4 linked regions of the Struthio camelus genome follow. The protein of the gene in region 4 interacts with the protein of the main gene of each other region in a biochemical or structural test. Links are inferred from orthologs where the notes say so. Each region holds a gene or a part of one and is shown on either strand. Other genes may lie near its edges.

The links.
Region 1: the proteins of UBE2D2 (region 4) and RNF4 form a complex in vitro, tested with the Homo sapiens proteins (8 studies listed by BioGRID, with this or other methods). The link is inferred for Struthio camelus from reciprocal best matches to the Homo sapiens genes UBE2D2 and RNF4.
Region 2: the proteins of UBE2D2 (region 4) and TTC3 form a complex in vitro, tested with the Homo sapiens proteins (2 studies listed by BioGRID). The link is inferred for Struthio camelus from reciprocal best matches to the Homo sapiens genes UBE2D2 and TTC3.
Region 3: the proteins of UBE2D2 (region 4) and RNF170 form a complex in vitro, tested with the Homo sapiens proteins (2 studies listed by BioGRID). The link is inferred for Struthio camelus from reciprocal best matches to the Homo sapiens genes UBE2D2 and RNF170.

Annotation. Positions count from the first base shown.
Region 1 is NC_090945.1:77,249,469-77,256,573, reverse strand, and holds the start of RNF4 (E3 ubiquitin-protein ligase RNF4), read left to right. Parts: upstream 1-4,035; 5' UTR 4,036-4,120; intron 4,121-4,132; exon of another isoform or gene 4,133-4,227; intron 4,228-4,303; exon of another isoform or gene 4,304-4,313; intron 4,314-7,105. Other genes in the region: CFAP99 (cilia- and flagella-associated protein 99), read left to right, coding at 538-705. UniProt on the Homo sapiens protein: E3 ubiquitin-protein ligase which binds polysumoylated chains covalently attached to proteins and mediates 'Lys-6'-, 'Lys-11'-, 'Lys-48'- and 'Lys-63'-linked polyubiquitination of those substrates and their subsequent targeting to the proteasome for degradation.
Region 2 is NC_090942.1:122,277,029-122,284,314, reverse strand, and holds the start of TTC3 (E3 ubiquitin-protein ligase TTC3), read right to left. Parts: upstream 3,077-7,286; 5' UTR 3,056-3,076; intron 3,041-3,055; exon of another isoform or gene 2,956-3,040; intron 2,882-2,955; exon of another isoform or gene 2,737-2,881; intron 2,729-2,736; exon of another isoform or gene 2,659-2,728; intron 2,207-2,658; 5' UTR 2,196-2,206; coding exon 2,121-2,195; intron 770-2,120; coding exon 724-769; intron 1-723. Other genes in the region: PIGP (phosphatidylinositol N-acetylglucosaminyltransferase subunit P), read left to right, coding at 3,741-3,822, 5,071-5,143, 5,693-5,811, 7,236-7,286. UniProt on the Homo sapiens protein: E3 ubiquitin-protein ligase which catalyzes the formation of 'Lys-48'-polyubiquitin chains. Mediates the ubiquitination and subsequent degradation of phosphorylated Akt (AKT1, AKT2 and AKT3) in the nucleus.
Region 3 is NC_090982.1:12,000,579-12,008,004, forward strand, and holds the start of RNF170 (E3 ubiquitin-protein ligase RNF170), read right to left. Parts: upstream 3,219-7,426; 5' UTR 3,089-3,218; intron 2,717-3,088; coding exon of another isoform or gene 2,660-2,716; exon of another isoform or gene 2,569-2,659; intron 2,477-2,568; exon of another isoform or gene 2,427-2,476; intron 2,424-2,426; exon of another isoform or gene 2,360-2,423; intron 1,823-2,359; 5' UTR 1,691-1,822; intron 210-1,690; exon of another isoform or gene 163-209; intron 1-162. Other genes in the region: HOOK3 (protein Hook homolog 3), read left to right, coding at 2,660-2,716. UniProt on the Homo sapiens protein: E3 ubiquitin-protein ligase that plays an essential role in stimulus-induced inositol 1,4,5-trisphosphate receptor type 1 (ITPR1) ubiquitination and degradation via the endoplasmic reticulum-associated degradation (ERAD) pathway.
Region 4 is NC_090954.1:22,808,824-22,816,147, forward strand, and holds the start of UBE2D2 (ubiquitin-conjugating enzyme E2 D2), read left to right. Parts: upstream 1-4,120; 5' UTR 4,121-4,621; coding exon 4,622-4,645; intron 4,646-7,324.

The sequences.
Region 1 (7,105 bases), on a different chromosome or scaffold from region 4:
TAATAAAATAGAATTTATATTACAGCTTGGAAGACTAACTGTAAGAAAACTATCATTAATGGAAAACACATTGTTCTACCATTTTAAGCCAAGAATCAGATGAAAAAGTAACTGTTTTGTTTATTCTGAGCTTTCTTGGCAGTCCTGCTTTGTGAACCTAGTTTTTGAATCCGCAAACCAGTAGCGTCTGATAGAGAGGATCTGAGCAACTGTTCATTTATAACTTCAAGAACAATCTATTGGCGATGGGAGAACATAAGGTGGGGCACTGGGGCGTGACAGTCCTGATGTAGTTTTGCCTTGACCTAACATTTTGTGAGGTGTTGCAGTTGTGTTTAATTCATCTTAAACTGGGCAACCCAATCAAGTTATGTTTATATTCATCATGCCTAATTTGAAGTTGACATGCTTCCCAGTTGTGTTAGCAAGTAGAATGTGTCACCAGCCAGCCAGATTATCATACAAAAGTTCAGTGCATCATCTAAATAGAACCGTTATATTCTCTGCGATGTGATAATCCCTGTTTTTTTTCTGCAGAGTTCTTTGCAACAGAACCACTGGAAAGAACTGGAAGAGAGTCGGGAAAGACAGTTCAAGATCCTTCAGCATGGCTTCATGGCCAGAGAAACAGCTCAGAAAATGGCTGCATATGAGGCAGCAAAAAATGGAGCCACAGTTTGTATACTGCGATCTGAAGTAAAATAAAATTCATTTGGAAAAAAATCAGACTTGCTGGAAAACTTCTCCCAGTGTGCCCATATACTACAAGGTTGAATTTTAACCTTTATTTCATCTTTACAGTTTGAATAGCACAACTCTGGTCATACAGGCACATTTGAGTCAAAATTTGTTATTTTTTTGTCATGGAATTTTTATTTTTAATCAGTAATGACCTATTTTTCCAGTTAGAATCAAAAGCTGTAAGAAACTGAGCCCTTGCAACTGAGGCTCCTGTGGCAGAATGACAAATATCTGGATAAGAATGCTGTCTGTATTTCTATTATCATTATATATTATACCATGATTTGCTACATTCATCTTCCTAAAGAATAAAAATTAGGAGAAAAAAAAGTACAATGTTTGTTTACATATGTATTTTTTCAGAAGGCACGGTCAGCCCAAGTTCCCAATACATCATCTTACCTGGCAGTAGCAGTGCATAGCAGGACCACCAGTTTCAATGCTGGTTTTAGAGGGTGAGGGGAGAACTGATGGCATACAGCAGCCAGAGAGTAGACTAACTGACCTAGACATACTGTTCCTATATTTGCAGAGGTGAATCTTTTTTGTCTTTGAATGGTGGAAGGAGAACATAACATTCTTTGATCTCTCTAAGGAACTGCTTCCAGAAAAAGGCAAAAATCTGTTACTCACCTAGAAGATAATTTGCCCTCTGTGACAATTTCTATACTGTGTAAAAAGGCCTTCAAATCACAAGATTTATTCTAGGCATAAAGCCAAGGAGGATATAAATCTGGATTAAAATCTGCACAGCAGTAAGACTATGTAATGTATTTCTATTTTAAATTTGTGCCAGTTACTAAGTGTTTAATTATGGCTATTGCAAATATTTAAATTGAATGAGACTGTCGCTGACATTAGAGTCAGGCAGCTGCTTTTAATGCTCTCACAACATTGTATTTCTCACTTTTTGCTGAAGGAAATCTAATGGAATTCTTTTGTTGCCATCTAGCTGTGAAGATTGCTTCCACAATCTGCAATGCTGACAAAATGTGCTGTATTTTTTGTTCATTCTGAATGCTACAGCAGTTCAGGAAAGCAATGAGATTCATGCAGTAGCTCAGTAGGAAGAGTTAAGGATCCTAGGAGAGTGGGAAGAAGGAGTGATAGATGTAGAACTGCGGAGAAGTCGGAACTATGACTCTGTGTCTAGTAGAGGGTTGGAATAGCTTAAAATGACAAGCATTTGGTTCCACAGAGTTTATTTTCCTTTGTGTTTGTCCAGCACCACGTTGTGTTGTATTCCACAATGACAGAGCGAAGTCTGGACTTGAATGCCTCGGTTTTCCAGAAGCTAGCAAATAATAGGACTAACAGTCACGGTCTGGGATTTTTCACAGCTGACTAGTACCTCTGAAACTTTTTGTTATACCATGCATTTTGAGAATTAAGAAAAGAAAGATTAATCTTTAGGCAAATAGACAGGCATATCTACGAAAGGTTTTCAAATTTCAAAAATTTATCATACTGCATGCTTCTTCCTCTGGGGTGTTGGACCCAGTCTTCAAAATTCGGAATGAACTGCAATCAAGCTGAGTCGTAACTATTTCCTTCTCCATGTTCTCCCCAGCTCTCAAAATGAAAGGACTGAGAAATAGAGCAATCTTAGTAGTTCAGCTGTGGAATTCAGAAATAGCCTCATTCTTGCTACTTTAGGACCTAATGCGTGAAGTCATTTTATAAGCAATGTTTCAAGGAATGTAAAAGAATGAATCTTTTGGGAAAAATATCAATTTATTACTTTTTTTATATAGGTTATTGATTTTACAGCGATGGGAGGTCTTGCAACAGAATACACAGAATAAAATCAAAGATACTACATTCCTCATGACATGGTGCACGGAAACCTAAGGTGATCCAACACACAGCCGGTAAAGGTCCCACACGACTTGTTAGCTTTCTGTTACAAAAGTAGCTGTACTGCTGTTGGAGCCAACTTAGCTTTGAAGCAATGCAGCTGCATTCACTCTGTGCTGCCTCAGCTAGTCTGTGGCACAGATAATCCACAACCTAGTTAATCCACACACAGGTAAGTGAGAGCTGGCAGCGCACGTACGCTCATCACACTTTGCAGAAACACAGCTACATGAACGATCCCTATGAGTCACTCATTTATGGATTTGTTACTGCATTTGTCTCCAAGATGATGAGGGCAAGTGAAGAAGGCTGAGTCTTAAATAAGCTACCAAAACACATTTACAAAATCAGAGGTTTCACCTGGGTATCAGAGGTTTCACCTGTGTTAGTAACAGAATCAGAAAGAAACCCCTCTAATGTCAGGAGCTGCACTTTCCAGAGTCACGCAGATGAACGTGAGGCATCTTAATACAGTGTGAACGACCAGATACTACGTCCTTTCACGTGGAGCTGCAGTATAACTAGGCCCAGGTTTACTGAGGAAGACCACGGGATGTTAGCATGCTGTGCAAGCTCCAGCAGCAGGTAACGCCGTCACTGCCACCTGGGACTCGGCTCCGTACGCCAATCCAGCCGGCAGCCTGCTGGCGGCCTGGGGTCCAGCTTCAGCGCCCGTCCGGCTGGGTAATCGGATCGGTCGCAGACAGCACAGGGAGAGATGGTGTAGTTATTTAAATGAAACCAAAGACGCGTACGGGCTGCTGCGCCGGAATTGCAAACACCTCGTCGAGGAGCGTTCAGCCGGCGGCGAGGAGAGGGCAAGAAGTGCCAACGCACAACGCCGCCAACACGCAGCCAGGCAGGGGGCTATTTAAATCGACGAAAGGCCAAGCGGTCCTCGTGCTTGGAAAAATAACTTTCGATAGGGAGGCAGAGGCACAGAGATACCATCATAAGCGTTTATAACGAGTTAACGCAGAGTGAGGTGCGCACTAAGCGCATCTAAGGCAACAGGTGGCTCGCTCCCAAGTTCATGCTTCTGATGCGCTTCTGTCGGTCCGTTCAGAAGCACAGCTGGGTGACTGCCATTTTGTGGGGGGAAAAACACCCAAACCCCCGACTCGTACTGCCTTGCTACACCCGCCCAACACGGCACGACCTGCCCTGAACGTCCCGGCAGACGGACAAACACCTGCCTCGGCCCCTTCCCTTCAGAGCCGCACAGACCCCAGCGGCTGGGGAAGGTTTCCGAGGAGCAGCCGCCGCGCCTGGGCAGAAGCCCTGGAGACCCTCGGGGGCCGCGGGCCCGGGCAGCCCCACCGCGAGGGGCCGCGCCGCCCCCGAAACTACAACTCCCAGAACACCCCGGGGCCGGATGAGGGGGCGGGGCCGCCCGCCGCCAGGGCTTCCTTGACTGACGTGCCCCACACCCAGTCCGAGAGCTGCAGCTTACGGTTTCGCCAATGGTAGGAGGGCAGGAGGCGGGCGCTGCCCTACGCAGTTGCCGGGCCGGGCGCCGAGGGTGAGTGTTGCAGGCCGGGGGGCTCCGCTGTGGGGGGGGTGGGAGCCGCGGCCGGGCAGCGGCAACGGCGCCCCCGGGCCTTCCCCGCCGCGCTGAGGGGGCCGCAGGTGAGGGATGGAGGCGGTGGGGGTGGGGGGCACCGGGCCCGCTCCCGGCCGCCGTGGGGGAGGAGCGGGCCGGGCCGGCGCCGAGGGCAGCGGGGGCAGCAGGGGCCGCTTCCCCCGTGCGGGGCCGCGCCAGCGCCTACGGGGCCGGGGTTGGTGGGGGGAGGGAGGCGGCCTGGGCCCGGCGCCGCCGCCTGCCGCCCCCGCGCTCCCCGCGGCCTGTCGTCCCTCCGCTCGTGGCGTCCCTGTCGCCCTCCCCTTCTCCCCCCGGTATCTCGTTGGGTTTGGGGGTTCCCCCCCCCACACACACACCCCCCAGCTTCGCTCCGTCACTCTGAGGGGCTGCGGCCCCGGGGACGGGCCGTGGCGGCCGCCCGCTGCCGCTGGTGACAGCCGGGGGGCGAGCCCGGCTCGGGGACGGGCCTGGGGCCTGGCCGGTGTCCCGGAGCGACCGGCGAGTTGGAGGGGGGGGCGGCTCAGGGGAGCAGGTAGGGTGCGGGGGGGGGGGGTTAGGCCACCCCCCCGTTGGGTTACCGCAGAAGCGGAGGTGATGTTTCTCCTCGAGGTCTTGTTCCCTCTACCCCTACGTCTCCACGCCGGGCTCTGCTCCGTTCCCCTTTCTCTGCCCTCCTCCGGGGCTTTGGGCTGTGAGCCATGTCCGCTCTCTGGGATAAACAGCCGCGCGTAAGAGGAGCGAGGAGCGCTTCTGGCCGGCCCTGGCCGTTTGCAGCGTTCCTGACATAGAGCATCTGGCCAGCTGGAGGCTTCGGCTGTGTTCTGTGCTGTGGGTGGTTTTCGTTTGTTTTTGTTAGGCCGCCCGTAAGCGTGTGTCCTATTTGTCTGTAGATGTAGCTGGCCGCTTAGAGCGGGTCGTAAGTAGTAGGTTGTGCCTCTCTCATCTCTAGTCTTTTTATAGTGCCTGTCAGTGAGGTTTTGTAGTATGGGACTGCTTGACCTAATTTGGATAAAACATAATACACTCTGTTTCTGTTTTTACTAAAGTTGGTGAAGAACCTTTTTTTTTTTTTTCCTCATCTCTAATGGTAGAGAAGATGCACGTGATATGGAACTTTTGGAAGAGTAAAATGGCAGATTATTTTTCCTGCCATATGACAACAATGCTAACGCTTTGCCATAGGCATGTGCTTCTTCTGATCACAAAAAAACGCTTCTAGATGCTTAGCCCTTTGATACTGTCTTTCCTGTATTAAAAGTGCAGTGAGACATCTTAAAAGTGCAAATGAGAAGCAAAGTCTTAAAGGCATAGCATGTTGTATTTTCTTGGCTAACGTGGTGTATTTTGTTTTTGACACCTTTGCCTTGTACAGACCAAACGTTTACTCTGAAACTGTTGCTTTATTCAAATGTTTTCTTTAGAATATTTCTAATGCTTAGGATGTTCATGAGGTCAAGTTTGGTCTATATTAGTCAGACACGGTAAAAATGCCTACTTCTTGTTTGGGCTGATTTGCTTCAAACCATAGTGAGCCTGTGGGAGCCCAAGACTTTGTTTTCAGAGTGGTGTAGGAAAAGTTTTAAATGTATTTTTAGTGAGTTAAAAGCTAAATTCTAACATGGTAAATTCAAATTGAATTTGGTGAAAATATTAGCTTGGGGGGAGGGATTAACGACTTAAATCAGGCATAGGGGAATCAATATTCTTTCACTGCTAATGGAGACATTCTTAATTTAGGTGAGTTTACCTGTACTTTTCTCAAGTAGTTACCTGTTGAGAGAGAGAATGGTGGATATAGCACTTAAAATCCCGGTAGGTTAGCTAGAATAAACCTTGAACTTTGCTGTTATAAGGACATAACAGTCATTAGGCCCTTGGGAGGGTTAAGTGATAGGAACAATAACTGTCTGTGGAGAGCTCTGTATGAGAGGAAGGGGAGTGGCTTCTCCTGGTTATATATCATCCCCCAGTGATACAATAAAAATCCTATAAAAGTTAGTAATATTTAGTGGCTTATCAAGTTGATCTGTTAAGGTTTTGCATTTAAAAATCATTGTTTTTTATTTTAAATTTAAAAATCTTAATCTTAGAATTTCTGGATTGGTATCTGAATGCATCTTGCTACAAGTATAATAGATGAGCTACTAACAGCTTCAGCTGGAGTTATTTGATGCTTTTGGGGGGTAGGAGGTGCAATAACTCCGTTCCTGGTATCTGATTCTGAGAATCTTGATGCTGAGTTTCATAGTGACTGCTGGAGGAGGACCATATAGACGTTATTACTGAACTTGGACTATTCAGGACTGTATACAAAATACTGTTAAATTGGGTGGTCCTGGGGTTTTGAGAACCCTCGAGGAATTTTTTTGATAGGTAGATCTCTAAATGTGAGAAATTTGAAACTGCTTTGTTTATCTCTGTTCTTAAACACTGCTAATTTGATCTGCAGTGTTTTAAAGAAGGCAAGTTTTGCTTTATTTTTCCTATCCATTCTTGCAATTCAGAGAAGTGATCTTTGCAGTGGAATTTCCCTAGTAAGCTAAGAGCGTATTTGGAAATATGTAGCCCCACAGAAGAGGTTTGTTTGTTCTTACGAGAAAAGAAGTTGCCGGATCATAAGATTCCTTCCATAACTTTAATAAATTCTAGCAGTTTGGTTTTCTTTGAGTATAATTCTTCTGATTTGGCAGGTTCATCGGTATTAATGCAAGCCGAAGATGATTTTTAAAGTCCTTTTACAATTTTGGGCTTTTCTATAGATATCCATTCTTAACACTTTCTCTTTTGGAAGAAGCTGACAAAGAGGTTAAGATGTGAGCCTTTAGCCCGTGGAAGAGCACAGGAGTGTTAGTGTCTCACGCATGCTATCTGTATTAAGTGCTATGACAACTAATATAAAGAAAGCTTACTGCCAATGTTGGAATG
Region 2 (7,286 bases), on a different chromosome or scaffold from region 4:
ATGTGGCTCTTTCAAAAATATGACCCATTTCCCTTGGAGACTGTATTTTACGGGCAAAAATCCTCATTTGACTATTGAGATGGTATCAAGTAGCCACAGAAGAGAAGCAGTAGCATCTGAGAGTTTTGTGTATATACGAAACCTGCTTTTACATAGGCAGCTGCATTCACCTGAGTTTCCTACAGACTAGGTATTGTAGGTTTTCATTTTGTATATGGAATAATTTTGAAGAACTTGGCGTATTGTGTAGCTATCTACTTTTCTGCAACTATCCAAAAAAGCCCAAAAAACAAAACAGAGAGAGAGGGGGGGGGAGAGGGGGAGAAAGGAGATTATCTATAATTACAACACTCTACCTACAAAGATCATCTTGAGCATGTACTCAGACCTACATAGCTAAAACATAGCTATGATTAGAGCACAGGTAATCAACAAAGTTTAAAATCTCTGTTCTCTTAACATTAACTGACACCGTGTATGGAAGTGTAACCAAGTATTCACACTGTTCTCACAAACCTATGGTATTCTCCTGCATATTACATTACAATAAAAAGATGAGAATTACTCCAACTCAAAATTTAGCAATACTTCCACTCAGAAGAGACCAAATAATTTTATACATATATGGAGACAAAATAAGGAAAAAAGTGAAATAGCAATCCAAAGATACAGCACAGGAAGTACATAGGAGAAAGTTATGCAAGATTAGTTTAATTTACATACCTGTTCTAAGTTTACGTGAAGAACGCTGTACAAATACTCCATGACCCTAATGATAAGCATATTAATTATTAACATTACATATCCCACAAATGCATTACATCAACTGCAAGCAGCAACTACTTAACTGTTTCTAAGTAGCATAATGGTTTATTTGCACTCATATGAGAAAAATGTTTACCTATATGCCCATTAACTGAAAAAGATACCCATAAATTAAAAATGTTCACAGCCACTCACAATTATTAATAGCTTAAACAATATATTAAATTATACTACCATAGCATTCTTGTAAAAAATAGATCACTCAAACCTGGCTAATGGACAGTGACATAATATCCAAGAATACCTACAGAAGACATTTTTAAGATAACAGGTTTTCAAAATATTAATTAATTTTTTAATAGTATGTGCATATATATGTGAATAAACATATATCAAAGTACGTAGAGTAAATAAAAGTGGTTGATTCATTTATTTACTTCACAGGTTGATTCACTTATTTATTTCACAGCAGTACACTGTACCAATGGAACTTTAATGAGTTTTAAAAGAAGTGCTCCATGCCAGCCGCTAGAGCTGAAGAGTAATTACACGGCTTTGTTCCATTTTACAGAGCCCTACAAAGTCTACTGTTTTAATAAAAATAATGTACATGTCTGTTAATAAATAGTAAGTATTTTGTCTGTATGTACAGCTGTATTATAATTTCAAAGAAACTAAAAGTTATTTCTGGATACGACTAGAAAAAGAAGTATGAAAACAAACGTCTGCAAGAAAGTGTTTCCTTTAAAGACTTTCATTCTTGCAGTGGCAGACCTCAGGGAAATACCGATATACTGTGCAATGACAACTTGACCTGAAGTGGTGATAAGCAATCATGTGACCTCATCAAAAGTAGTATTTCTAAACTGCTGCAACTTTACATGCAAACTGAGGCTTGTTCTCAAAAATAAATTATCAACATATTTAACAAAACTGGCCACTCACTAACAAAGAAGGAAAAAATTATTTCAAAATCGGTTCAGCTTGAAGGATCACTGCGAACGTCTCATTCACTCCACAGCATGGATTTCACTACTGTGAGGTATACCATCTGACATAGCCTGGACGCATGGCCAGCAGATTAGTAAAACTGTGTTAACAAGATCTATCTATTCCTGTCTAGTTTTACTTATTTATTGTATACCTTTTCAGTAAAACTTGTGTGATAGAGGATATGCAGTCTCTGTGCTCTACCCAGATGTAGCATTTTGCAAGAGAATAATTTACAGTGGTATAGCATATCTTTGCATTAGTTAAAGTTCATCCAGATCAATAATCAGTCTATAGATGATACCTAGGTATAAAACCCATTGGATCATCTTGCAAGCCTTTCATCTAGTTCCAAACCTACTTACCAGTTCACAGCAAGATTTATCACCAGCATAAAAAGCCATGGCCGCAGATTCAGATTCGGATATAGGCTCAGCCATGGTGCATAATACTGAAAAAAAAAAGATTATGAGAACCACACGCGGGTGGGGGAGAGAGGAAAGGAATGCACTTACTTTACAGGAAATAAAATGATCACAACATGACATTACGATTTGTGATAGCTTCACAGAAAACATGCACTCGTATTTTTACGTGACATAGTTAAACTTAAGAAAAGCATCCTAAAGCGTTAGATAATTGTTCAAGTTAAAAACTACTTAAACTGACTAACAACTCCAACAGTTTTGCAAGCGCCTGGTCCCTGACAGCACTCCTATTGCCTCACGCCTAACAGGCAGGAAAGGGAAGGGCAGTGTCTACCAGCCGGGGAAGGGTGCAACAGCAACTAAGCCCCATTTGCCACATCCAAAGACAGCGGCTCTAAACACCCCGCGTGACAGAACCGCGGAGGCCTCCCGTCGCCCAGAGCCACGCTCCCCCTCCTGCCAGCTCGCCCCCCACCGCAACCCGCGGGCCGCTGCGCGGAGCCCGGCCGCCTCGCCGCCACCTCCCGGCCCCAGCAGCAGCCGCGCTTCTCACCAGCGACGTGTCGCAGCCCCACGGAGCCGAGGCCACACCGCCCTGCCCGCTCCCGTCCCCCCGCACTGGCTGCGCTGGAGCCCGCCCCAGGCGGGCCGGGCCGGGCGTCACCCTCCCGGCCCCAAGGCGGAGGCCGGGGGCAAGGGAGGGGCACGAGCTTGGCACCGCGCGCAGAGGGGGAGGGGAGCGCCCGCCCCGGCCTCAACGCCCGCCACTCACCGGACCCCGCCACGGCCAGCGCGAGACCAACCGCCACCCGCGGCGCCGCTGGGCCCAACGCTGGCCCCTCCCCCCGCACGTGCCAGCCCCCCCCCCTCACCCGCCCTGGCCCCGCTATTGGCAGGCTGCCTTCTGACGTCAAGGGAGAGAGCCAACGCTGGGCTAGAGGTCTCCGGCCGCCGCGAACTCGCAGCTTTTGCGCATGCGTCTGCTTGCCGCGGGAGCTGGCAGCGGGAGAGGCGGTGCTGAAGCGCGCTTTTTCCGATTACGCATGCGCCAGATACACGGCGCCGGGCGACCAAGGGGAGGGGCAAGTCAGGCGGGTCGGCGCCTCTTTTCCTGCTGTCCTTAAGGGCGCCCTGGGTGTGGTTTCCTTCCTGAGGAACGCGAAGGGAAGGGGGCGGAATGGCCTAGCCGGCCGAGGCAGGTAGCAGGGGAAAGAAAGAAGGAAGGAAGGAAGGAAGGGCTGTGGGAGATGGGGGTCGGCAGCGCCGCGGCTCCCGGCCGACCGTTGAGCGGCGCGCGGGGCCTTGCGGGCTGAGCGCATGCGCAGCTCTCCCGCCACCGGCAGGCGCGTGCGGGGAGGGGGGAGGTGGCCACCGGCGCCGGTTGGTGTGGGGTGCGTCACGTCTGCATGGGAGGTAAATAAGTGATTTGTGTTGTCGTGTTTCCCCCCCCCCCCCGGATCCCCGCACTTGCGTGTAATTCGTAGCGAGACTTACCAAGCAAACCTGTAATACTTCTCTTTTTGTTTTCCCCCCCGAAGTTAAAGGGAAGAGACCAGCATGGTTGAAAACTCTCCAGCCCCATTGCCAGAAAGAGCAATATACGGCTTTGCCCTTTTTTTAGGATCTTGGTTTGGCTTTAGTAAGTATATTGTGTACTGAATAATTCACTGGAAAGTATTGTTCTGCTTAGGAGAGAAATGTAATTCCAGTTGGACCATCTCAAAAGGGTGACGATTACAATTTCTTGCCAGATCTGTGAGATGTTTTGAGAATCTAGCATTACCTTTTGTGATCCTTTCATGTTTTGTCTGTCTTTAATACTACTATGGGATTAAGTGCCTATTTAAAAAATTCTCGGCATTCTAATTTTAGTAACTTTTTTACTTGAATTACACATACAGTTGCTATTGTGTAACCGCAGCGTCCCCACCCCAGCCCCCCAAGTGCCCAAACCCTGGATATTAAAGGTTAAGGCGCGTCTGGTTAACAGCAAAGGAAAATGACCAGCCCTACCAGCTTTCTCTGCTGATGTGACAGATGCTGTAGCATTTCTCTGGGGATGTTTTACATGCCCACACAGGACTAAGATAGCCTAGAAAGGGTGAATTAAATGAGAACACCTTTTCAACAAATGAAAAGGTATTGCAAATAGATTGTAGTTGAACAAAAAAGTAGGATTCTTATGTAAGTCTTCAGTGTTTCTTGGAGGTAAGTGGCAATGCAACTAAGTTGGCTTCCGTTTTTCCCAGTGTTAGTTCTACAGAGCAAGCCTCTGCAGTTCCAGATTTTGTGTCACTGTTTGGCTACTAAACTCTTCATCTCAGTTCTTGTTAAACCTTACTCTGAATTTGTTGTTAGGGAGAAAGATTTTCAATGTTGGTTATGTTAACATGAAGATCACTGTTAAACTTACCAAGAGACTGAAAATATTTTCAGTAATTATTTTTTTCTGAATTCAGTTCTTCCATCCAAGCCCTGCCGTTCTACCACCTCTTTTAGTCGTATGACCCACTGTATAATCACTTTGTAATTTAATATTGTCTGTATGCAGAGAGTCATTTGGCGTGCTTTTGCAGAATCTTTTTGTTTTGTAGTTCCAAGACTGCATGAAATTCTTGTCTTGCCTACACAGGAAATCAAAAACTAAATGTTAAACACAAAAATGGTAGCATATAATGAGGTACAAAACATTGTCCCCATATTCGGCAAGTTTTGTGTATGAGCGATATATTCTGCAATGTCATGCTAGAGCTACCTGGGTATAGATTGTGTGAAAGTGAAACACTATCACAGTATGTATCAGTATGGAAGTATTGCTCTAAAACTTAAGGAAGAAGTCTAAAACAGTATCGGTTGCACTGTTTTGATTTTTTAATTCTTTGTGCAGTTCTGTATCTTATCTGGGCATACGTTCCTGAGACTTGGCTATTCTCTTTGGGACTAACATACTGGCCTCAAAAGTAAGTTCAAACAATTAAACTCTTAAGCCTGAATAGACGTACATTTATAACACCCTGAATTAATTTCAAATAGCAAATAGCGAAACTATACATGTATCTTTTAAATGGTGGCCTTGCATTTGATACATTTTTCCTGATGATAAAGGGCTATCGTTTTTGTGAAGCATTACTTTATACCGATAAGTAATTACGATAAAAAATATTTTGTTGTGTAATGAAAGAAGTAGTATTTATTTCAGTGTTTTGTGATAAGTTAGGAATTCTGTCTTAACCAAGTTTGCCGATGGAAATACAATAAATTTTAAATTGTATATAAAAAACAAAAGCCATCTATAAGGAGTTTGTGTGACTGTTTATAACAGGCTGGCTACAGTGACTCCATAGTTAGTAGTCTTCCTGGGAGGAACCAGGGTCCATATTTAGTGGTGGTGTTTCTTTTCGTCCCAGCTAAGTTTGTGCTGTATACAATAACAGCCAGTACATTAAAAATGTTATGTCACCAGACATTTTGTTATTATGATAAGTAAATTTTAAAATCTTATTTCTCAGGTACTGGGCAGTTGCATTGCCTGCGTATCTACTAGTTACTCTAGCAATCGGCTATATCTTGCTTTTTGGTATTAATATGATGAGTACAGCTCCACTCAACTCTACACATACTATTACAGGTAATTTTATTGTTATTTTTGGAGGGTTTTGACACTTAACAGACAATTTATGTACACATATATATATATGTAAATGTAAGTTTAAATAATATGACTCAAAGTTTAAGCCCCTAGTTTTTCAGGTGAGTTAAACAGGAGAGGAGTTCCTGGAAATACTTATGTACTGAGGTGAAAAGATAGCCATGAGCTTGATTCTTTCATCTTTACTATCTTAACGGCAGTAGTTTCCAACTAGGAAAGTGTAGTTTGTTAATAAAAGGGGCATCATGAGAGGAAAGGAACATAGGCACACAAAGGTCTCTTCGGCTTGTACCGTGCATTACAAACGAGTGAGGAGTGGAATAGGAAGAAAGGCATGAGTACAAGGCAATGGCAGAGGAAATAAGGTTCTGTAGCCGTCAGATTTGTGTGCTGAGGATGCTGCAGTACTGAGGCCTCATTAGGTATAGGTAAGAAATGCACTATTTCAAAGTTACTTTTCAGTTTTTCATTTGACTTTCTCATAGTCTTTCCTTCTCCCAAGCAGCCCAGTTCTGGGCATTCACGCTATTCTCCAGACAGCTGCATCTTTTTCCACATGGTGTTCTATTTGCAGACAGCCATTTTTGTTTAAAAAACAAAACCAGAAAAACCCCCAAAACCCAGCAAAGCTCGCCGGGGAAGTTAACTGTTACTAAAGAGGTAGACTACTGAAACTGCATCATTTTAACAAACTACGAGTATATAGTATTAGATTATAGTGAACTACAAAGGAAAAAAATCAGTTGAGGCTGTAGTTCAAATGCTTTACTCCAATGCTTCTGCCAAAAGCTGTAGTTTAGTCCTCCATGTGCTCTTAGCCGCTCACTCACACTCTCATGTCATCTCACACGGTGCAAGGGTAAGAGTTTGTGTGTCGGTATGGCAGATGGGATGGGGGAACTGCTCTGGTTGAAAAACAACTCTTTTTGTCAGTTGCTTTTCTTCCAGAGAGATCAAGTTCCCTAATTGTGTTCAACATGCAATTGGAAAAACGTTAGGGAAGGGTGCTGTGTGGTGATGGCAACAAGCAGCCAACATAAAGGGAGGATAGACTACCTCTCGCAGTGGAAATCCTAGTATAAATTGTTCAGCCTCAGCCATTGAGAGGGATGTTGGCTGTTTGGTTGGTTTTTCCTGTGTGTAGTTATTGTCATACAGAATCTCAAACCAAGTGAACTACCAGATAGAGAATTCGAGAAGGAGGGCAGGGCTGATTTGTTCAGTGACTCCGCTAATATATGGTTTTGTAAAGTGTTTCTGAACTACCATCTAAAACTTCAGCAAGGTGGAGCTTTTAGCAACACTTACAATACCTACATGTATAGAATGTTGCATTATGTAGCATTTCGTTAAAGAAAAAAGTATCTTTAATTTGCGGAACATACTTATTGTGTTTCCTATAGATAACTATGCAAAAAAGCAACAACAGAAGAAATTTCAAGAAGAAGCAATTC
Region 3 (7,426 bases), on a different chromosome or scaffold from region 4:
TTGATTTTAGGATACTGCTGAATATATTTACATACCTATATGCTCTCTGAGAAAGAGAGAGGAAAGAAAAAAGCGCTAACAATCTTGGTAGCTTTCCTGCCAAGCCAGAACAGGGGAAACTGAATGTTTTTAGTAAAGAAATAATACTTTTTTTCCATATACCTTAAGAATTGACCAACCAAGGCACTTGCCTGGTGAAGCAGGTCTCTGCAAGGTCTGAGGTCAACAGCCTCTGAGGGACATGTTTTCCTGGGGGGGGGGGGGGGGAAAGTAGGTACTCTATCCTTATTGGAGGAATGATGCTTTGCAAGTTAGAAATACAGCACAGGCAAATTCATTCTCTATTTCAAAAGGATTGAAGTTTCTTTTCGCTCAGATACTCATTTGTTCTGTAAGGGAAAATACCATCAAGTTAAAATACCACTCTAGTAGAAACAAATAAAGAAGCTTTCCATTATGAGCCTGAAACTATGTTGATGGCTTGAAGCAAAAAGACAAATACAATGGTCTGCACAGCATTACTATTTGGAAGACCTGTATTGACAATGCATGACCTGTATAAAACAGTTCCTAACAAAGTCTTCCACTGTTTCATAAGAATAAAACAGAGAAAGGAATGGAATTCTTAGTAACATAAAGGGTGAAATTAAATTCCTGTGCAGATCGGGACATAAGAAAGAGCCTGCCAATGCCTTCAGCTTGAATAAATTGCTTTTCTGAGCAGACAAGGAGAAAAAGGAAACAAAATCACTTCATTAGAAAATGATTTACTGATGAGTGATGATACTTCACCTAAGACTCAAAAGGCTTATTTACGCTAAACCTGTTGTAAGAAAAGTGCTTAACAATTGTTTATTGCACAATGCATTTTTTTCCTTATACAATCTCATATCTAAAGCAGAACACAAAACAAAACACATTACTGCATTTGTTTTCTAAGGCTTTTAAACCTTCTTCCTCAATTTGACAGCTGCTCTTAAAAGGTAAGAGGCTGAATTCAAAACTTGAAAATGAAAATAGCTGGTTATGCTATGACATCAGGGAGAAGATACTTTTCTGAATAAGCGGGAGAGTTTTCACAGCTCTTGTAACACACTTTCAATTGAAACAGGCTGACATAAAGTAATATCAAGATTTTGTCCATGCTATTTGCTCATTTAATGCAAGAACTGTGAGAAAATAGGAACAAAATGACAGTATTTAGATGCGCAACACTTTCTTTCTCGGTTGTTTATGCAACTCTCGTCCGCGTTACTAGCGTACCATGCTTGCTACTCCATGATGCCACATGCCAGCTCAGTGACTAATGAGCCGGGATCTGTATAACTTAATATTACATCTGATATTCTCATTAGAAGCTTCAGCTGGGGCAAAATTCAGCTGATTACTGAAAACGAGTTTGCTGAACCCTTCAGGCAACCCCTTTACAGTCTGATGTAGAGCTCCTCTAGCCAAGGAAGTAGGGAGGCAGAGCCACACTAGCCAAGAAATAATCTCCTATTAAGGTTAAACGTGAATTGAGTTATCCACAACTAATCTGATTTAATAGATTAACTTTTATGATAGCAACATTTTGCTGAGAGGGAGCTAACGTCATTTTCTACAGCAGAGAGAAGAGGGGGAAAAAAAAAAAAAAAGGAAATCTCCTTTTAAAGGCTGCTCTTGCCACGTGTCAGACTGCACTACTTACTAGCAAGTGCCTTTCCTGGGGTGCAGCAACCTCACCAGTCCACACTGCTGAAGTCAGAGAGCGGCAGAGGCCGGGGCCCTACCCGCTACCCACCAGAGACCCACCAGGCCGGCTCCTACGTGCGCGTCGGGGCTGCAGGACCGGGGGGGGGGGGGGAGAGAAACGAGGCAAGAGCAGTCAGCCTGCGGCAGGGCCTCTCCAGAGGACCACCCCCCTCCCCCGGGGGAACCTGCTTTTTGTCGGCACGCAAGTGCTACTGGGCTGGGGGAAGAAGGGGAAAAGGGGGAGGGGAAAAAAAAATAAAACAAAAAAAAAGCTAACCGCGGCGCCAGCCTTGCGCACCCGCGGTGTTGTGTAACCGCCAGCACCACAGTTCGGCACCGGCCGCGCTCGCCCAGCCTGCGCAATGCGCGAGCGCCCACGCGCCCGTTAACGGCTCCCCCGCGCCCGTTAACGGCTCCCCCGCGCCGCCCGCCAACCGGCCAGCCAGGCAACACGGGCCCCCCCGCCCCGCCCCTCCGCACCCTCGCCGGCTAGGGCGGCACGGCGAGAGGAGGGAAGGGGAGAAGAGGAGAAGGGAGAAGGCTCCCCGCCGGGCCGGGTCGGGGCGCCGCCGCCGCCGCCTCCCCTCAGCGGCGTGGGGGAGGGGCGCGGCCCGCGCGGCGGTACCTCAGCTCCCGGCGCGCGCGACGCTCGCCGCCGCCGCCGCTGCCCCGCCCCGCGGCCCCCCCCCCACCCCTCCCTCCACTCCGCGGCCGGGCTCGGCCGACAGCGGCGCGGCGCGTCAGGGGCGCATGCGCGCTGGGGGCGCGCGGGCGGTTCCTGGGAGGTCGCGGTGACGTGTCGACGCCACAGCCCAGGCCCGGGACGCGGGGGGGGGGGGGAGAGGGGGGAAAGGGGGGCGCCGCCACAGGACGCGACGCGAGCGGGCCGCGGCCGTTAGCCCCGCGCGGCCGCCGCCGCGCCGCCATGTTCAACGTGGAGAGCCTGGAGCGGGCCGAGCTCGGCGAGAGCCTCCTCACCTGGGTGAGTGCCGCGGCCGCCTCGCCGCGCCCGGAGCGGCGCCGCCCGCCGGGGACACGGCTCCGTGCACCCGCCCCGGCCGCCGCCGCGGAGATTGGAGCGGGTTGGGGTTGGGGGGGGGGTGGGGAGAAGGGCGCCGCCATCGCCGTCGCCAAGGCCGCCGCCCCGCCCGCCGGTGGGCCCGAGCCCTGCCGCGGCCGCCCTACCCCACCTCGCCTCCGGCCGCGGCGCTGCCCCCCACCCCGAACAAAGGAGCCGGCGCCCCGCGGCGGGCAGCGGCCCCCCTCCCCCGGCCCCGGCTGCCTCGGCTCCGCGCCTCTACCGGCGGCGCCGCGGGGTGCCCGGGCCCCGCCCGCCCCCCGCAGCCTTTTTTACCCGGAAACTTTCTTTCTTCCCGTCTGTTTCGTCTTCTTCTTTTTATTTTTTTTTCTTTTTCCCCTTGAGCCCCGAGGGGCGGCGTTCACCTGTGAAGTCAAGGTTACACCCCCCCCCTTTCCCTCCCCCCTCCTCTTGCCGTTACCTTTACTTCATCTTCACCTTGGGGCTTTGGTCCATGAGCGCGTTCAGGTTGCGCTGTTCTTCGCAGAGCAGTCCAAACTTACTGGACGGGGGACCGGGGTTTGCAAGCGCTGCTCCACGTTTGGAGCGGTGACTGTGCCATATCCTTGGAGCTGGCATTTTCTGTAGCAGCTGATTCATCGGTGAGCTGTTTGGAGCCACTGGATTTGTGGTTTTTTTTCTTTTTTTTTTTCCCTTTTGTTGATGTTGTCTTTCCATTAACAGTATTGGCAAGTAAATACCCATTGTGTGCAACTCTGGAATATGACTGACAGTTGAAAAGAGCTATATACTTACTCTTCTAGATATTTAGTCTGTGAAAGGTCGGAGCTGGATAAAACTGTGATGGTGAGTAAGTTGCTGGGGAATGGTAGTTTAGCTTTTTCTGTGAAAGTCAAAAGTGGACAAGCCAGGAAGATTCACTGAGTGTTGAAGGTGAGCAGGTGGCCCAGAATGTACAGAAGACTGAGGCTTAGGGGAACAGTATATAATGCAATGCCATGGCTACTCTCCTGCTTTATGCACGTAAATGGAATAAGTAACTTGAGAGTAAGTAACTCTGTTTCACTTCCCTTCACATCCCTGCCAGTCCTTGCACCTTCCAGAAGCATTGGCCACTTGTCCTGCCTTTGGGCTCCCAGGATTCCTTTTTCAGATATTGGGAAAGAAATGAGAATCCTCCTACTGTTGGAATTCATGAGGAAGTAGATGTGTGTGACTCTTGGTGAAGAAAGGCCAAGCAAGAGGCTCATTATGAGGGGGGGGGGGGAAATAAGTTGTATTGGGGGTGGATGGAAGATCTGTTGCCGTGTGTCGCTACTTTCCCTGTGCTCGCGTGCTTTAGCTGTTTTACGTGTGATCCTCTGGTGCTCTTTGGCAATAAAGTAGTCACATCGCTGGGAGAAGCATAAGATGAACGCTAACCTAGCCAGTGGTCCCAGTCTCAAATGCTATCTTGACTCCTTAACCTTCGAAGTAACTAACAGACCAGCCCTTTGCTAGGAGTCCAGTCATCTGCATGTGGACTGATATACTTGAAATATGTGAGTTGCTGCAGAGTGATAGGTACTGAATTTTCTGTTGTCTGTAATTTACTGGTCTGTAAACAGTGATTTGAACTTGTTGATCCTACCCTTTATTCAATCACAGGTTGGATAAAATTGTTAATAGCCTGAGAATATTTAGTTGAAATGCAGCATTTGTACAGAAGTCTATATCAGGTCTGAAAAGATTCCAGGACTAAAAATCTTCTAATATTCACTTAAAATATGGTGTTCAAATTCGATTTGAAGTGATAATATTTCAATTTAATTTTAAAAGATTGCGTGAGATTAAACTATTTGTGAGCTAGTGAAGGAATTCACAAAATGCAGAGTGAGAATTAGAAGACTATGGTTTCTCCTGGGGAAGAGGGGAGTCTTCACTGAATCTTCAGTCAAACATCGTACAAACCAGTAGTCTATATGTGCTCCAAAGGACTGTATCATCAACTTTTGCACACGCTCAGATCTAGTGGAAGTTGAGGTCCTGTTGATTTAGAAAATAAAATAACGTAGGAATCCACAGTTCTTGCTTTTGGAGGGAATGAGGACAAGTATGTCTAGGCGAAGTCTGTTCACTGTTAGTAAAAATCTCGATCGATTACCTTGCAGACTTCTTACAAAGAAAAATAGTAGAACCAAACGGTGATTTTGTTTTCCTTTCCATATTTGAGAGTTGAAGCAATCAAATTTTGAGTGGCTAACTTTATTGTCACCTTTGAAAATAATTGGCACTTTCCTCACAAAACTGAACCATTGACAAAGATGACCTTTGGACAAATCTCCTGGAAACGTAGACATAAAAATGGATAACTTAAGAAAAGAAAAATGTATTGTGATATGGTCTGTCTGTAAGAATTATTTACTCAAGTCGTATGGACGTATGACTATGTGTAAGCTGTAGCAAGTTATGCACGTTCCTTGATCCTGAACCTGTACCTGTCCAGGCCGATTCCTGTCTCTGTCGTATTGGTCAATAAAGATCCCTTTGCTTTTCCACATCCTACCCTCCCTTACATACTGAGCTAATCAAGAAACTAGCTTCTTTTTTTGTTAGCAGAAATACTAGTAAATAAATAGTAATAGAACTAGACTTAAATAGAACTCGAAATGATCAACACGTGTTTCTTAGCTTAATATATGGAACTTTGGATTATTTTAACAATTTCAGTATTTTTGGATGAAGATGACTTTGAAATTGGTTCAGTTAAAAAAAAAAAAAAAAAAAAAAGACATTTATTCCAAGATACATAAAACTTGAAAAAGAGACCATGAAGTTTTTTGGAGTTTTTCCTCAGTGAAACTGGCAGTATAAATAAGAGGCCTTTCAAACAGGATTTTTGCTGAAGTGCCATAATGATTCTTGGGAAATTGCTCATTTAGATGGCAGAGTAGAGCTGTTTTAATTGCAATTTATGCACATCTTGGAAGGCCAATCTCTTCTGTTATGCTGGAGAGCTTGGCAGTTCTGAAAAACTGGTTTAACCTCCCAGATTGCTTGCAAAACACTTCACATGCATATAGAAGTACTTCAGCTGGTTTGTCCACGTGTCAAGAAAAGTAGATAAGGCTTTTCCGCAGGTTGAGAACCTGTTCAACCTAAACCAAGTGTCTGCTGACACGGATGTAAGAAAGCCGAAAATGCTCCTCCCTCTCCCAGCTCATGACTTTGATTGATGAGAATATCAGTCAAGCCTTCTGCCTTGCTTGCCGGAGATTCCTATTTTGCATCTTTAATCTAGAGCAAACTGTTTACCTTTGACTGTTTTGTTTTATTCTCACCCCCTCTCCTCTGTCCTGTCTCGGTGGTGTTATGGGCTAGGTTGGGGCATTACTCTGTCTCCTTTGTCTTGTTGGCTGACAGCATTGTCACAGTTTCCTGAGTCCTCCTTCCTCAGGATTTTAAACAGCTGGGAGAGCTTTTCCTTCCTGCCGTTTCAGCAGATGGTCGTGATGGTTCTTTGAGGCAGCCAGGGTAGTGGCAGCTGGAGTGAAACTGAGTGAAAGACTGTAGCCTGGCTCCTGATACCTCAGAGTCAATTTTTCTAACCCTTAGCAGTGTTTGCCAACCACTGTCACTACTGAACTAGTTCCCTACCAGAAATCTCCCAGACGTCTCTCCTAGGACTACGATAGGCACTGCAGTATAGTTGTCCAAGCAGCATTGCAGCCAAAGCAGGTTAGAAAAACGTGACTGGGAGGTAAACCTGTATTGTTTCAGAGTATCCAATGCAGGTAGGCAGCATGTTTTCTGTTCAAACCTTATGACTGGTTCAGAGATGAATATTCATATTCTTTGTGTTGTATGTTGTGTCAGGAGTGCTTTTAAGTCAGCTATGTTTCTTAAGTCATGACTTAAGACCCTGGTGTGCTTTCAAACGTGTGTGGCAGTTGTGCTGTAATATACCCGTATCAGAAATCAGTGTGATGGCTACAGGCTTGTCAGTATGTAACCTGAGAAATTTTCTTTCGACGTAGAACCAAGATCTGATACTGTAAAGGTTGCTCAGCCTTGGTATTTAAACAGCAGAATTCCTCAAAGAGGTCAGTGCTTGCTGGTCCTAAGTAGCAGATTGCTGTGGCGATGTCAATTAACTCTCCCTTGCCCATGATGGTAAGCAACTCTTCTTTTGCCATATGCTGCCTCCAACAAGTTGCACCTTGCCTGCTTTCTTTCTCTTCCTACCCTGAAGGCCAAATGTGGTTTCTGTAGATAGAGGAATTGAGATACTTATTTTGCCAGTATTATTTTGTTGTTTATTTTTGTGGATGTGTTAAAGTTTTCTATTACATGGGAATTTTGTAGATACTATTCAAGACCACTGTTCTGGGTTCCTTCATTTTGAAAGCACATTTGACCGTTTGTGTGGTATCAGTCCTTTGACCTTTTTCTTTTTTGGCTGGAAACTTCCCTCAGTACAGTATATCTCTGTCTTCTACGCGAAGGCCTTTCCTCAGCTGGAAGGCCTTGCCTATGTTAATGCAGAGGCCATATGAGCGGCAGCTGAATTAGAGATTTTTTTAGAGGTTGTTTGTAAATGTTTTGTAGGCCCCCTTTCCAGAGAGGGTAAAAGATGTTGGCATATACTAGAAAAGCTATGTTTTTCCACTCCTC
Region 4 (7,324 bases):
AAAAGGTGGAAAAACCGAGAGGAGAAATGCTGACCTGAGTTCAGCATGGCCAGGGATTCCCCAGCTCTGCTGCCTGTGATCTTAGGTTAATGTTTGTTTGTGCCTGGTATTTCTTGAGTCTCGTGGCATTTTTATGACATCTCCTAGTTCCAGTGGAAAGTGCTTAAACTATTGACACATCAGACAAGGATCTAACTGTGAATTGGGGAAATTACTGTTCAACATGTGCAACATATCGCTATCTTCAATTCTCTGTAGACTTTAAGGAGTTAAAATCTATCTTTTTGAAGCTATAGGCCACTCTCTGAAGTTGCAGATGAGAATTCAGGCCTTTCAGCAAATCTAAGGGGACTGACCTTGTGAGTAACAATGGTAAAAATTACTTTTCAATTTCTTATCAATTTTTTTCTCTAGCAAGAAAAAGAAAATCATAGTCATCCCTGGTACTAAAATCACAACGTAACTATTTTATTAACTCTTTACACTTTCAAAATTGTTGATTCTCTGGATTGAGTTTTACAATGCTTTTCTACTCAGAGAAGACTTTCCAAAGCTTGACAAGGAAAAAATAGCAATCCAGACTGTTACTTTTTTTACTGTGAGCCAAAAATAGTTTTCCAGTTTGGGGAGAAATTCCAACACTTTTTATTAAAATACTGGAAAAATGAATGACATTAATCTTAGCTGGTGTGCAGACTTCTGAAACTTGCAGGTGCAGCTCTTAGAGGATGTGACTTAAAGGTATTTTGAAAACTGCCCCAGAAACATTAGAGGGGTGCTTCAGAAGATGCCTGAGGATAAGGAGGCCTTTCTCCCTCCCAGCAGTCACTAGTAGGACTTCACTTCAGGACATTAAGCATTGAACTTAACTCCTAAGTACATTTTAGTGTAACTGGAAGTTACATGGCTACAGTGATGGTGGATATGATAGTGGATATATCTGCACTAATAGCCCTAGGCTGGACCATGGAGATGTCACCTGTACCTAAAGGTGCACATTGCTCTTGGGTAAGGAATGTGGGTTGTATTTACACTGCAAAGTGGCGTACAAAGCAGGGCCCTCTGAACTGTTTCTCAAAGCAGACAACACTGATGCTTGCCCTGCTGAGGGATGGGGCAAAGTTAGAGCAGGGCTGGGGCAAAGCTCCGTGACTGTACTGCTCTCCGTGCCCGAGGAGCGTCTCCGAGTAAAGAGGAATTTGCAATGCCATTTCTAGCAACCGGAATAAGATTGCTCGATCATGATCTGACTACTGTAATGTTGGCTGGGCAGCAAGAGGAAAGCAGAACGCTTTGGAAAAAGAACAGCTTCACTGCGAGCCCATGACTGGGGATGGCCATAAGGGGAAGGACTCCTTGGGGTTAGTATCTAAACATTTCCAGCTCCTGAACACCTCCTCCGTGAGCAGGTAGAGACCGGCATGGCAAGGTGGGAGAGCGAGTTCTCTTGCCACAGACTGCAGCCTCAAGCTGGCGCTGGGGGTGACAGAGGGATGAGTTGGGGAAGAATTGTTGTCTGTTTTTCCGAATGAATGAATGCTGTCTGGCAGCTGAATGAACAGGTCTCTGGCAACCCAAGGGGAGCAAAAGGCCACAGAAAAGAGGGGAAAGATCAAGAAACCAAACAATGAATCAAAGTAGCTGAAAAGACCCAGAAAGCCCAGAAAAAACATTTTTATGAGTGTGTGATATATCTTCTCTGTCATGTGAGAGGATTTTATGAGATAGCAGAGGAAGGGGAGAAAAGCAGAACAGGATTTCTGCAGGGAGAAACCTAATGTGGAAGAGGAGAGAGAAAATAATTTGAAACACACCCTATGCTAAATGCACTAGAAGAGAAATCTTTGATTGTTGTAGAAAGGCTGGCAGCCAAGTCAGCAGGAGAACAGACAACTATTGCCGAGAGGCAGCAGTTCCCAGGCTCCCCAACAGGACTCTGCAACTGGTGCCAGCACTATTGGAGAGCCTCCTCTCCAGTCTGAACATGGTGAACAGCAGTTACCTGGGAGGAGGAAGGAGCAGGTGCTCTAGGAAGGAGTCAGCATGATGTTATTGTTGCCAGCTCTACATCAGAAACGGTGTGGGGTTTCCAAACCTTCCCAGTTCAAAAGCAGCAAGCAAATTAGTACTATAGGTAACTCTGCTGGCTACAAAGACTGGTTCGCAGAAGTGCTTCTTAACAAAGGCATAGCGTCTGACCTCAGGGGAAGCTTTGGAGCTGAGTCCCAAGCACAGATCTGCTTCTTGCAGCTTGGAGTTGAGTATTTTACTTCTCTGTAATGTCTGCCATTTAAGCCTTCCATCCCTCTCTGCCAAGAAACGCACAGAAGGTGTGAGAATGACAAGAAGAACGGTGAAAAATAGAACTCTACCACAGCACCAGAAGGTGAGCAGAGGAAGACAGGTAATAACAGAAAATCTTAGTACAATCCACTAGAAAAGTCAATTGCACAAGACATAAATCTATAGGAGACCAGGCTTTGCTACGACTGCTTGTGAAGGAGCAAAAACTCATGCCTTCGTGCAAGTCTTATGAGTTCCAGCAGTGATTAAAAATGCTCTTGGTATTTTCCTTGCAAGAAATTCAGCTGCTGGAAGCAGGCAGACAGCACAAGGCACCAGCCATCCCAAGTCTAACATGGAGGGGCAACTGCCCAGTCCTAATTCATAAATGAAAGATGGCAACGGGAAGAAAAGCAGAGTCAACAGAAAATACTTCAATTGGAATTTAAAATGCCTTAATAGTGTAAGATGTCCCCGGGCTCACCGGTTGTAAGAGAACTGCTTTAGTTGCAGGTTTGTTTGTGTGAGAACAGTTGTTAGGCTGAACTGCTCTACAGACTTGACTTGTTAAAATTCTAAAACAAAATCCTTGTCTATAAGCTGTGTCCTACTGACCGTTCCCAGCCTAGTTCACTCAGTTTCTGATTATTCAAACCCAAAGGGAAGTTGCCCTTTTGTTTTTGAGCTTGCTGTTTATGGTTATTATCCATTCATGCTTTGATTGTATAGCTACACAAACAGGAAGTGGTTACATGGCTCAAAGGTTTGCTGAAGCGTCACAAAACCCCGTTCACGGCTACTGACTGGGAGCAATCAGAAGCATTATTTGATGACTTTTTGATAAAAAGCTGCATGAAATGCACAGGGCTGCTCAGCCATCTGAAAACTAACATACTTTTGCCCTTAGCGATGTTCTCTGCAGAGAAGTTAACATCTGAATGGAAACGTTTTCGCTTCCTCCACTGGAAGCGGGACTGCATGGGCAAGGTCATTGCTCGAGTATTCCTCTCCCTACATGATCCTGCTGGCCTGGTGAGCACTTTGGTGTCTTTTTAAGCACTGCGCTTGCTGGTACTCCTTGAGTTCTTCACACAACATCGCTGTCTTGGCATGCTTGGTAAGCCTGACACTTGACGTACTTTCTCGCTGCTATAAATAAAGTCTGCTTGATTGTTCAAGCCTTTATTTTGCAGAGACATACTGTGATTTAAAGTGTTCTCCTCCCCAGCTTAAGAAGGAATTACCGTGCATCACTCTCATGCCGCTAAACACCCTAAAGGGACGCTTAACGTGACACCCTAGCGCTATTGCAGCAGGTACGAGGTGTTGCCAGCATCATTTTCAGTGTCATTTCACACGACGCTGGAAGGCCTATGCTGCAGGGCCCTGCCTGTCTCAGGGGCCCCTCCCCACTTCCCGGTGACCAACACCACCGGGCCTGGGCCTCCTCCGGGAAGGGGCCACGGGCCCACCCCTAGGGCCGCCTCAGCCCGCTGACGTCCGGGGCCCGCTCCCGGCCGCCACGGGCTCCCCGGGGCCGGGAGCGCGGCTGGGCGGTGGCTCCCCACGGGCGGCCGAGCTGCCGCGCTCCGCCCGCGCCGGGCGCCGCCGCCTCGGACCGGGCCGGGCCCAGGCGCTGCCCCGCCGCCTCACGGCCAAGGCCGCTCCACCGCGGCGGCGCGGCCGGAACTTCTTCCCCTCCCGCCTTCTCGCGAGAAGCCGCCGTCACGCACGTCGCCAACCAACCCCCTCCGCGCGGCCGCAGCCTCCCCGCTCCCGTATCCTTCCGCTCTCCCCCTCCCCCTTCTGGAGAGTTCTGTACGCGCGGCGCAGGGCAAATAGTCCCCGCCGCCTCCTCCCCTCTCTCGCCCTTCCCCCCCTGCGCGCCTCGCCCGGGCTCGGCCCCGCCGCCGCGGCCCCTTGCGCGCCGCCAGCCTCGCGTTAGCCGGCGGGCACGGGGAATAGAGGGGGGCAGGCGGACCGCGGCGGAGTGATACGCGGCGGGGGGGAGGCCGGCTCGGAGGCGGCAGCGCATAAAGGGCCCGCGGAGGGATGCGGTAGGAGCTGCGGCGCCGAGCGAGAGTCCAGCGGCCGCCGCCGGGGGAGCAGCGCGTGAGGCCCGCCCGCCTGGAGGCCCCCCCCACCCCCTACCTCTGCCGCCGCCTTCTGGCCCCCCCCTTCCCCTCCCTCCCCCCCCTTTTTTTTCTCCTTCCCCTCCCCCTCCCCCTCTCGCACTGTCGCCACCTCCGCACTCCTCCTCCCCTCCCCCTCGGAAAATAGTCCCCGCGGGCTGCCCCCTCCCCGCCCGCGCGCCCCTCCTCGCCGCCTCGCGCACACAATGGCGCTGAAGAGAATCCACAAGGTAAGGGCAGGGCCGCGCGCCGCCCCGGCCCCCGCCCGCCGCCGCGCCGCGCTCGCCTCCCGCCGCCCCGCCGCGCCCGGGCCCTCCCGCTGCCGCCGCCGCGCTCCGAGCGGCTGCCGGCCCGGCCTAGCGCTCGCCTTACATAACCCGGCCTGCCCCGGCGGGCCCGGCCTCCCCGCCGGCCCCGCTGCCCCCCCGCCCCGTGGGCAGCGGCTAGGCCGCTTGCCCTGGGCCGGCCCGGCGCGGCCTGTGCGGCTCGGGAGGATGGACCGGCCGGGCCGGGCCCCTCAGCTCGGCTGGGGGAAGCCATGGGCTGGGCCTTGCCCGCTCGGCGAGGCAGGGAGCTCCCCTGGGACGCAGCCCGCACCTCTAGCTCTCTTCTCCGGCCTCATGCCTTAGGCCCTACGTGGGGCCCGGGGACCGGGACCGTCCTGCCTGGGCAGGGCAGTGTCTGCTCGGGGTCAGTTACTGCGGGAGTTCTTGAAGGGTGTTTTAACCTCTTCTTTTTTTCTTTATGTTTTTTCTTTTTTTTTTTTTTTTTAAACACTGAAGTAAACATTTGCGGGTTTTTTTCGATTTTATTAGGGGACTTGCATGTTCATTTTTTTGTTATTAGCATGATCATCGCTTGCCTAAAGATTGAGGAAAGGGAACATCATGCCTTTTCCAGAAATGAAGAAAGGTGGTAGCAGCCAAGCTGAAAAAGGTTAAACAAGAGAAACTTGGTGGCAAGTCTGAAGCAGACCAGGTTTCTTGTTGCTTCTTTGACTCTGATCTCTATACTGTTAGCAGGCCCGGTTGTGTTGGTGCTACTGTGACTGCCAAAGATACAGAATGCTTTTGGAGCCTAGAATAAAATGACGCTTCTTTTTCTTCAGAGTAGAAGGTCTGTTAAATTCTTACCACGATTCCATTTCCTTCAGACAAGCGCTCTGAAGCAGTCGATTCTTGACTCTGGGGCTGATCTTTTTCTAGGAGTTGATGTCTTCGAGGGTGGAGGGGGGAACTAGGAAGTGTGAATTTTGTTTTATTTGTTTTTTGTTTTATTTTGTTTTATGAGGATAGTGGATTTCTCTTTGGGGTTATCTCCTGTCTCTTTTCCTTCTCCCTCTCCTTGTTCCTCAGAAGCGAGGTGCCCGCTGTGGCCGAGGCCGTGCCCCAGGCAGCTGGTGGAGCCGCGCTGCCGTGAGCTGCATCGCCGCCAGGGGGCTTGGCTGCGCGGCGGTGCCCAGGCCAGGGGCTGTGCTGGAGGCCCCTGCCCACCTGCCTGCCGCAGCTGCGGAAGGGTATGGCGGGGGGCAGCGTCTCCTGGGAAATGGCATCCTGCAGCTTCAGTCTAGCAACTGCTGCATCTAATGAAATGTTGCTTAACACACATGCATTCTCAAATTACCCAGTTTCAGAAATGGGGTATGTTTAGCGCTTAATAGCATCAAGATACCATGTACTGATGTGGTATTTTGTTAAGCGGTTTTTGCCATTTTTTAGAAGAGGATACGTGGCGTAGAGCAGTGCTGTTTTCACTGAAAGTTTTGACATAGCTTGCTTCTAAGCTTTCTGTTTAAGTTTTTAATCCTTCCTTGAGGAAGAAGGAGCTCGTGGGTACTGGATAGTGAAATGTGAGGCATAGTAAGTCTGTCACATTTGAGCTACTCAAAATAGTGTGGTGTATTGTAGAATAGCATTGACTCAGATTATTTGTTTGATGAAGCTATCTAGTATGCTTGTAGGGAAATGTGTGTGAGACATGCTTCCTTCTGGAGCAGGAGGCATGCCATGGTCCATATGCTAGCTTTCTAGAAAAATCATTGCTTCTGAGTCTCCCCTCTGATATTGAGACTATAGCTTACTTGATCATCACAGCATATTTCAGACGCAAAAAAAAGGCCATCTCCCCCAGAGAGGACTATTCAAGCGTGTTTTTATTGCCTTGGTGATTCAGGCAGGGAATTGGTATCCTCTCGCGTAAAGGTGTAGCTTTCAGCCTAGAATCTGCATGCAAACTTCAGATCTAGAAGCCAGTCCTCCCTTAGGATTTCTAGTCTGAATTATCTATGTGGGTCTAATATATTTGAGAAATAAACGTGAATCTGATGGCAGATGTTCAAAGTCTCTTGCTAGTTCTGTTTTCTTCTGTATATAATACAAGATTTAGACAACATATTAATGTCTTTGCTATGGTAGTAGGTTATCTTTAAGTATTTGTGAAACTTAATCATGATCAAATTAAAGCAAAGGAAAGAAGAAGGAAGAAAATTGAAGAGAGCTTGAAGGCTTTCCTATCCTCATGGAATAGGTAGAGCATAAAAGGGACGAGTGTAGACTATAATTATGTTAGTATATTTAAATTTCCTCACAAAAGTGTGCAGTAATGGGTTATATACATATGTATTTTTTTTTTTTACTTAACTAGTCATCAAGAAGCACAGGTAAGGGAGAAGTGGATTCATCCAAAAAATTTGGCAGAAAATGATCACAAATCTCAGATGTGGTTGAGTTAGACTTGCTTTTAAGGAAGTTACATTCTAGTTTAGTATCAGTATCTAGTTTAGTGGCAGTTCAGTCTGCATCGTTCTGTCACTTATTTCAGTGACACTTATTGCAATGTGAAGACTGTTCTGAATTACTGCAGCGATACGTTTGTGGATTTGGAGGTGTTTTGAAAGATCATTGCTTTTT